2 linked regions of the Macaca fascicularis genome follow. The protein of the gene in region 2 purifies or fractionates together with the protein of the main gene of each other region. This does not show direct contact. Links are inferred from orthologs where the notes say so. Each region holds a gene or a part of one and is shown on either strand. Other genes may lie near its edges.

What was found.
Region 1: the proteins of FAM117B (region 2) and DCAF7 purify together in Homo sapiens (affinity purification with mass spectrometry; 3 studies listed by BioGRID and IntAct, with this or other methods). This does not show direct contact. The link is inferred for Macaca fascicularis from reciprocal best matches to the Homo sapiens genes FAM117B and DCAF7.

Annotation. Positions count from the first base shown.
Region 1 is NC_088390.1:70,058,897-70,063,154, reverse strand, and holds the start of DCAF7 (DDB1- and CUL4-associated factor 7), read right to left. Parts: upstream 2,958-4,258; 5' UTR 2,725-2,957; coding exon 2,587-2,724; exon of another isoform or gene 2,462-2,586; coding exon of another isoform or gene 2,441-2,461; intron 1-2,440. UniProt on the Homo sapiens protein: Involved in craniofacial development. Acts upstream of the EDN1 pathway and is required for formation of the upper jaw equivalent, the palatoquadrate. The activity required for EDN1 pathway function differs between the first and second arches.
Region 2 is NC_088386.1:98,502,313-98,506,587, reverse strand, and holds the start of FAM117B (protein FAM117B), read right to left. Parts: upstream 2,991-4,275; 5' UTR 2,804-2,990; coding exon 2,209-2,803; intron 1-2,208.

The sequences.
Region 1 (4,258 bases), on a different chromosome or scaffold from region 2:
AATAATTCTAAAGTTTCTCCAAATTACGAAGTCGACCACGTCTTTGGCAGGGCTTCTCACAAACTTAGCTTCAGAATCATTGCTTTAAGGCAGGATTTGCTGCTCACCAACCACTAGACATAATCCTGTCTCGCAGGGTTTCTTAACTTGGGGTCTGTGAACTTGAATTGGAAAATCATGCCCATATTTCCATTCACCTCTAGCTAAATATGTTTTATTTCCTTCAATTACAAATGGGTTAGGTGCTCACAGTGGCATAAGTATCTGTGACTTCACCAGCAAGAGAAATATTTTTTCCCACCACGGTGCAGTTAAGCATCTTGAAATGCTGTTTACCCTTGTCACCACTTCAAAATTACATTAATAATTACACTGGATGGTGTAAATCAATATATTTATTAAAAGTACATATGACTACATCACCACTTCTAAAAACATGTTTATATCTGTAGTGCAACGTAAGTGGTTTCTTTTGTAATTCTACGTGTTCTATGCATTTGAAAACATAACTATGAGAAGGGGTCTATTGGTATCAGATGATCATAGCACACAGAATTTAAGAACCCTGACCTACTGACAGGTGGAGGCACAAAAATGATTTTAAGACAGCACATTGCCTACATCATGTGAGTTAAGATATAGCTAACTGCTTACGCTGTTGATAGTGGGGTTATTAGTTTGCATTTCACTGCTAAGCCATGCTACCTGTGTGCCTGGAACAAAGAGGAAGCTCCAGAGAGTTGCTAAAAGAAAGGACAAACTGGGGTAGAGTTCCTGCAACAGCAGTTTGACTACTCCATTGATTCTACCAGCAGCCTAACTGTGGCTCAGTTTCTCCTCTCTGGAGAATAGGAGTAACTATTGTTTACCCCGTGACACTGGAAAAACACACAGGAAAAAAACATTAATTTGTGTGAAAAATTAAGCTTAAGCTCTTTGAAAGACATACTTTTTTATTTTCCACGTGTATCCTTAAACAATAGTTCTAGTGGTCTTAATTTTACTAACACGGTGTCCACATCAGAATCTTGAATCCCATTCCCAGTTCAGCTGTCCACAATGGGCCACAAGGAAGAAAGAAGCATCAGAGGAAAGGAAATACAGCTCTATTTCGCCCGGGAAATGGGTGAACTTAAAGATCAGTGCATATTGCTTGGATTTGTTTGTAAATATGTTCACGTATGTGTAATGTCTGGACAATGAAAATTCATCGCTTTCATCAGCTTCTCAAAGAGGACTCCAAAGAAGACCTACTCTAGAGAAACGTGCTCCTGAAAAACTGTAAACAAACTGTAAAATATTCAAATTTCTTTTTTACAAGACCCTCACATGTAAACCAGAACCCCTTCCCTACAGCAAACTGTGGGTCACAGATAATAAAACAGGCCTGTGCAACACCTCACAGCTAGTCAATAATCAGACAGGACCCACTCCTAGACCACCTGGCTTTTTCCCCCCTGCATGAGCCTTGTCACTGAACAGTTTTCTTCTTCTTCTTTTTTTTTTTTTTTTTTTGTATTTTAGTAGACAGCGTTTCACCTTGTTACCCAGCCTGGTCGCAAACTCCTGAGCTCAGGTAATCTGCCTGCCTCGGCCTCCCAAAGTGCTGGGATTACAGGCGTGAATCACCGCGCCCAGCCAGTTTTACTCTTCTTAAATCTGATGCTCATGGCATAAGGCAGTAGTGGCTTTAAATATCACTAGCCACAGCTTTCAGTTGCTCTGATCGCTATCATTCAACTTTAATTGAGTAAAAGGAAGAAAGCAAAGAAAATGCTTCCAACTGACTTATTCAGCTTTCAAAGATGAGTTTATGTTGCAATGCCAGTTTAAAAGCTCCCCTACGACACCGTGCTTCTATAAAGGATTCTCAAATTGATGAATGTCCAGCAAGATCTATTACTAAAGGTCACACAACTGTACTAGCATGAAACAAGCCAAAAGATAAGGCCCTGTCATCCTGTGTTCAGGAAACAACCGCGGGATCATGCCACAGGCCAAGATTTCCAAAGAGATTGCTTTAGAGAGAATGGTTATCAGGAAGCAAGAGCAACAGTAATTCTGGCAGAAGGGCTAGGATCCACACCCGGGGTGTGGGAGTAGGGGGCGGGGAAGCTTGTACAACAGATCGTCTTAATAGAAATCTAGTGTGGCCAAGAGTGCACGACCGCGAATAGAAGCGTCTGCATTTTCCTTCACAACTACCACTCCCTCTTCCCTTCCCCGCCCACCAACGAAAAAAATGCGGCAGGAGTGGAGAGCACGGGAGGAATAAATGGAGTATCTTTGGGGCGTAAACCCGGTTTTAAGACCTGTTTCCACCACGAAATAGCTGCCTGACACAGGCAAGTCACAAAACCGTGACTCAGTTTCCCCACTACACTGCCGACTACACAAGAATGCTGCCGGGATTAAATGAGACAGACAACGAGTACGAAACCTTCAGCACAGGGCCAGACATTGGAACCGCTCCATGGCCCTAAGGCGAGTCCGCAGGAGGGTTCTGGGGCCTGGGCTCCGGCCCGGAAAGGGCGCTCCCGGGGCCCGCTCCCCGCCAGCTGGGTTCCGAGGCCCTGCCCGGCCCACCTTGTTGTTGTACTCCTCCACGAAGCTGCCCAGCGCCAAGCGAAAGCGCTTATCGGGCCGCACACTCCAGTTCATCGCGTAGACCGTCCAGGGCGCTTCATACTTGTAGATCTCCTTCCGTTTGCCGTGCAGGGACATGGTGGCGGCGGGGCCGCAGTACGGGCCGGGTCAACAGTGGGCTGCGGCGGGCGGGGTGCGAGTCGGGCGGGGAGCCGGGCCTGAGATCTATGGGTCCGAAGGGAGGAGGGGCGGGGGCGGGCAGGAACGGCCTACCCCGGAAGCGGGGATGCGGCGACAAACAACGACAACGACCGAACCCGACCCCTAGTTTCAAACCAGCTTGGGCACCGACGACAACCACCTTCCGTTTCGGGACGCCGCCCCGCCCTCTCGGAACGGAAGCCACGGGACCCCTGCAGCGCCACCGGCCGTTGGTTGCCTGACACGTCCTTTCGAAAGGATTCTTTCTTCTCATTGGTTATTGCGGCCGTAGCGTGTGAAATCTCCTCGTTATTGGGTTAAATGTTTGTCATTGCAACTACTCGCCCCGCCCAACTCTCGGAGGCAGGCGCTTTGGCAGCCCCAAAGATCATTGGCTGACCAAGATGTCAGTCAGGCAGATAACGGCGCAGTGCGGGTGGTGGGGGCGTGGGTGGCCGGGAGGCGAGCGTGCTGGAGTAGCGGGCCTCCAAGTTCTAGGCCAAGTCTCTGAGCGTGAAACTGTCTGTGACCTGCGCTGACTTCTCCTCTGCTGCTGCTGTTCTGAGCGGCCTTTCCATGCTGTCGAGTAAAAGTACAATTCTGCTTTAGCGGAAGACCTACTACTTTCGCGGGACCGAGCCCCGCGGCCTGGCAGCCTGGCCTATGCGCAACGGGTACCACCTTCCTGCCCCTTCTCTTCCCAAGGCCCCTTTAACCCGAAAGCTGCTGTCTTCGGGCCTCAGGGCCAGGCTTCAGGGGCGCAGCTGCGCTCAGGGCCAGGCCAGCTTGAGTCAGGTCCTCCCGCGCTTTCCTGCAGGATCTAGAAATGTCCCCGAATTCTGGGGTAGACACCGACCTGACCAGCTTGGCTCTGTTTTTGTCGGTTCCCATCCTGTACCTTCCCCGCCGTGCATCCCAACGCAAATGCTAATCCAGCCCCAAAAGTATCTGTGCCTGTGAGTTTGAAAGGGAGAAGGGCCAGAGACCAAGTGACACCTTTATATAAATGGTTTCCAATTCTTAGCTTTCATCAAAATTGAAGGAGGTTTGTATTGAATTGTTGGATTATAACATTAAAGTTTTTTTTTTTTTTTTTTTTTTTTTTAAAGACAGGGTCTTGCCCTGTCACCCAGGCTGGAGTGCACTGGTGTGATAAGGGCTCACTGTAGCCTCGACTGCCTAGGCTCAAACGATTCCACTTTAGCCTCCAGAGCAGCTGGAACAACAGACGTTTGCCACCACACCTAGCTATTTTTAAATTATTTGTAGAGATGAGATCTCTCCATGTTGCCCAGGCTGATCTCGAACTTAGGCTCAAGCGACCCTCCCACATCAGCATCCAGAAGTTCCGGGATTACAGGCTTGAGCCACCATTCTGGGCGCTAAATATAATTTTTAGTGAAAATGATTTTTCCATCTCCCAGGTTTAAGTGATTCTCTTGCCTCAGCCTCCCGAGTAGCTGGGATTACA
Region 2 (4,275 bases):
ACATGCCTGTAATCCCTGCTACTCGGGAGGCTGAGGCAGGAGCATTGCTTGAACCCGGGAGGTAGGCGTTGCGGTGAGCCAAGATCACGTCACTGCACTCCAGCCTGGATGACAGAGTGAGACGTCGTCTCAAAAAAAAAAAAAAAAATTTACTTAACTAAGTACATGTAATTTTGGCCTGCTATATATTTCCCACATTCTATCTTACACATCATGATGTCACTTCCTTGATATAATATAAAGACATGGTCTTTGGAGTACAACTGACCAAAGTTCAAATAAATACCAGCTCTGCAACTTGTTACTTAACCTCTCTAAAAGCCATAGTGAAGGTTAAATGAGATTTTGCATAAAAACTACCTGACACATAGTAAGAGTTCATCAGGTGACAGAGGTTATGAAGCGGGGAGGTGAAGTCTAATACTTTTATCACAGTTTTAGAAAAGCATTCTGCATTCTCAAAAGATTTAAAATAGTGCTCTGGACCGGGCAATCCTAGCACTTCGGGAGGCCGAGGCAGGCAGATCACCTGAGGTCAAGAGTTCCAAATCAGCCTGGCCAACATGGTGAAACCCTGTCTCTACTAAAATACAAAAATTAGCCGGGCATGATGGCGGGTGCCTGTAATCCCAGGTACTCGGGAGGCTGAGACAGAAGAATTGCTTGAACCCGGGTGACAGTGGTTGCAGTGAGCCGAGATCACATAACTGCACTCCAGTTTGGGCGGCTGAGCAAGACTCCCTCTCAAGAAATAAATAAAAATATAAATACAAATAAATAAAACAGTGCTCTAGTTCTAATTAGAAAGCACTATTCGGGCAGCGCGCGGAGGCGCACGCCTGTAATCCCAGCATTTTGAGAAGCCGAGGCGGGCGGATCACCTGAAGTCAGGAGTTCGAGACCAGCCTGGCCAACATGGTGAAACACTGTCTCTACTAAAAATTAGCCGGTTATGGTGGCGGTCGCCTGTAACCCCAGCTACTTAGGAGGCTGAGGCAGAATCGTTTGAACCCGGGAGTTAGAGGTTGCAGTAAGCCAAGATCGCGTAACTGTACTCCAGCCTGGGTGACAGAGATTCTACCTCAAAAAAAGAAAACACTATTAATCATTTTCCAGGGCAATTATCTCTAAAAAAAGTATTATCTAAAACTTTTCATAAACAGTAAGAAAGAGTCATCCTATTCCTTCCATTTCGGAAACTATTTCATCTGAATTTGTTTCCTGAAATTCCCAACCATTCTGCCTGGAAGATTCTAACAGAACTATCCCAGTAAGGGAAAGACAAAGATATATGTTGACAAAAATGAATACATAATTAAAAACCACATATTTATTTTCTCAAGGCAACAAGATGATAAATTTTATTCCTTTCCACTTCCCACAATTTGAATTTTTCTTTTGAGTTACTCTTTATGAATGACTCCAATGGCACCCACAGCTCCATTCACGACTTTCCCCAAGAAAGCTTCCAGGTAAACAGAAAAACAACGAATGTTAGCTCCCTAAAACAATAACAAGATGGAGACAAACACTGGATTCTGTTTTTCTACATTCAAACAACAGAATCAGTACACAAAATCAGAAATACACCCAGAACCTCAGACAAAACCCATAAACCTTCCTAAGGAATCTTGCTTAATTCTCACTTCTTGCTACCCATTTATCAAAGTCTTGGAAAATGCTAAAACACGGGTCTCAGCCTCGTCTGTTCAGTGATCCAAATCTGCCACTGCTAATGCATTCAGTACCCCAGATTTGAAACTGTTTTGTGAACAGAAATACTTAGCAGCAGCAGATACGGGCTATGCCAACATTAACCTTGTGCCTAAAACAAAGTGATAAACCACTCCTAGCCTCACCCTCAAAGGAGGGTAAGCAGTAACGACTCCTCCAGGAATACGGCCAGGACGCCAGGGTTATCATTAACACTCATCAGCTCAAGCCCAAGGTTTAGCCACTGCACCTCCACCGCCAGGGAGCCGCGCGGGGCGGGCAGAGGAATGAATGAGACGGGCGGGCGGGGCGCAGGGTAGGCCCGGGAAAGGCGGGGCCGCACTGCCCGGTCCCCACCGCCCGACACCGCCCCCAGCCCCGCCCCCAGCCACCCGGGCTCCGCGGCAGCGCTGCATTCCCCGCGCGATTGCAGCGCGCGCCCGGGACTCCTTCCCGCCGCCGCCTCCCCCTCGCTGCGCGACCCCCAGCACTTACCTGCTTTGCAAACCGGGGCGCTAGGGCTCCTCTTCTCCGGCGAGCTTCGGCTCTGCTCCGGAGACCTCCTCCGATGCCGGACGCGGGCTGGGGGTGGGGCCGCGCTCACCTCGCCGGTCCACAGGTGGGTGGGCGACGAGCTGGGCGACGACACGGTGCCCAGCAACGGCGGCGGTGGCGGCGGCCGTGGGGGGCTCCCGCGAGCTCCAGGCGCGGCGCCGCGCGTGGGGCTGGTGCCTCGCGTGGACGTCGCGGACGCGCCCGTCTGCGTGGCCACCGTGGGGCTGGTGCGCGCGGCCGCGTTCCCGCCGCCGCGCGTGGGGCTGGTGCTGCGCAAGGCGGTGCGCGGGCCGCCGCCGCCGCCTGCGGGGCCTGAGGCGCCACCACAGCAGCCACCGTTGTTGTTGCCGCCGCCGCCGCCGCCGCCGCCGCTCCGCGTGGGGCTGCCATGTTGCTGCTGCTGCTTCAGCTGGAACGGAACCGTCGCCCTCATGGGCTGCAAGCGGCTCCCGGGTCCCCCGGCCGTGGCGACCGCACCACCCCCAAGGGAGCCGGCCGGCGTGGGGGACCCATTGCGCCTCACCCGCTGGGACATGGTCCCCCCCTCCCCGGTGACTGGGCGAGACGGGGGGTTTTGTTGTTGGGCTGCAGGGGGAGGATTCTCGAGGCCGGAGGGCAGGCCCCCGCGCGGGGTGACGAAGCTGGACTCCGGGGTGCAGGGGGCGACCGGGCCGGGACCGGCAGCAACGAGGTGGTGCAGCCGCCGCCGCCGCCGCCGCTCCTCATCAACAATAGTGTCTCCTCCGCTGCCCCCGCCCCCCACGATCGCCCATTGGTGCAGCGTCAGCCGCGCTCGAGCCGCTCTACCGCTCCCATTGGCTACGAGCAGCTCGGGTCCCGGGCCCCCGAGGCCTTGAGAGCCTGGGTGTGCGCGGAGACCGTCTGCTCTTTAAAGAGAAAGAGACCCGCCCCCCGCGGGGAGGGAGCGGAGGAAATGGGCAGTGTGTGTATGTGTAGTGTGCGCGCGTGTGTGTGTACACGTGAGTGCCCGTGTACGCGCGCGCCTAGCCACGCGCGCCTTTCCCTTCCCGCAGTGGGGAGCCCTGGGGACTCAGACTCTGGAAGGTTGCCAAAGGAAATGTCCGGACCCGGAACAGTTCCCAGGGATGGTCTGAAGCCTTTTCCGCATAACTCATTTCCTTACCCCAGTATTCACTTGTATTCACATGTACGCGCCTCTCCTTCGGGCTTTTATTCTTAATGTTTTTGTTCTGCCCTAATTCCATCTACCTATGGACAGGGCTCAAAAGGAGAAGAAATTTAACAAATCTTAAGTGGCATTTTACACCCCTCTCCTTTTCTTATTTTTTAGAGCTCTACAAAGAGGCAAATCTCAGAAAGATTAAATTTGCCTGTTAGAATGCGGTTTTAGATAGTATCTATGGAGTTCAGTTACCACATGTTATTCCTACCCTCCTGTATCTCAAGTAATCAAGACTATTTTAATCAGCTGCTTCGCTGTTCCCTGATACCTTGGAAAGATGGCTGCTACCTTACCAGTCTGTAAAATGCTATAGTTTACAGAGGGCCTTATTTGATTCTACACGATCATTGTTTGAGACAGAACTGGGCCAGCCATCCATGTTTTTGTCTAGTGGAGGAAACAAGTCTTTGGTGTGGCAAAGACCCAGGAAGGCAGGCAGTGACACTAGTTCTAAAATGGCCTAAAGGGCTCCTTATCAAGAAAATAAAAAATGGTGGACCCAAAACCTACACTCCCACCTCTCTGGCTATAAATTGCCTATCCATTACCTCTTTTCCCTGTACTATTTTTATTAGTTGTACATGCTAGACAGATTTCGTCGTGTAAAAATGTGGGAGTGGAGACCATAGTATGATTCACTCTGGACCTGAAATCCTACTGGATCCCTGTGCGCGGTGGTGGAAGACTTTTGTTTTGTTTTGTTTTTTTGAGACGAAGTCTCGCTCTGTCCCCCAGGCTGGAGTGCAGTGACTCGATCTCGGCTCACTGCAACCTCCGCCTCCCGCGTTCAGGCAAATCTCCTG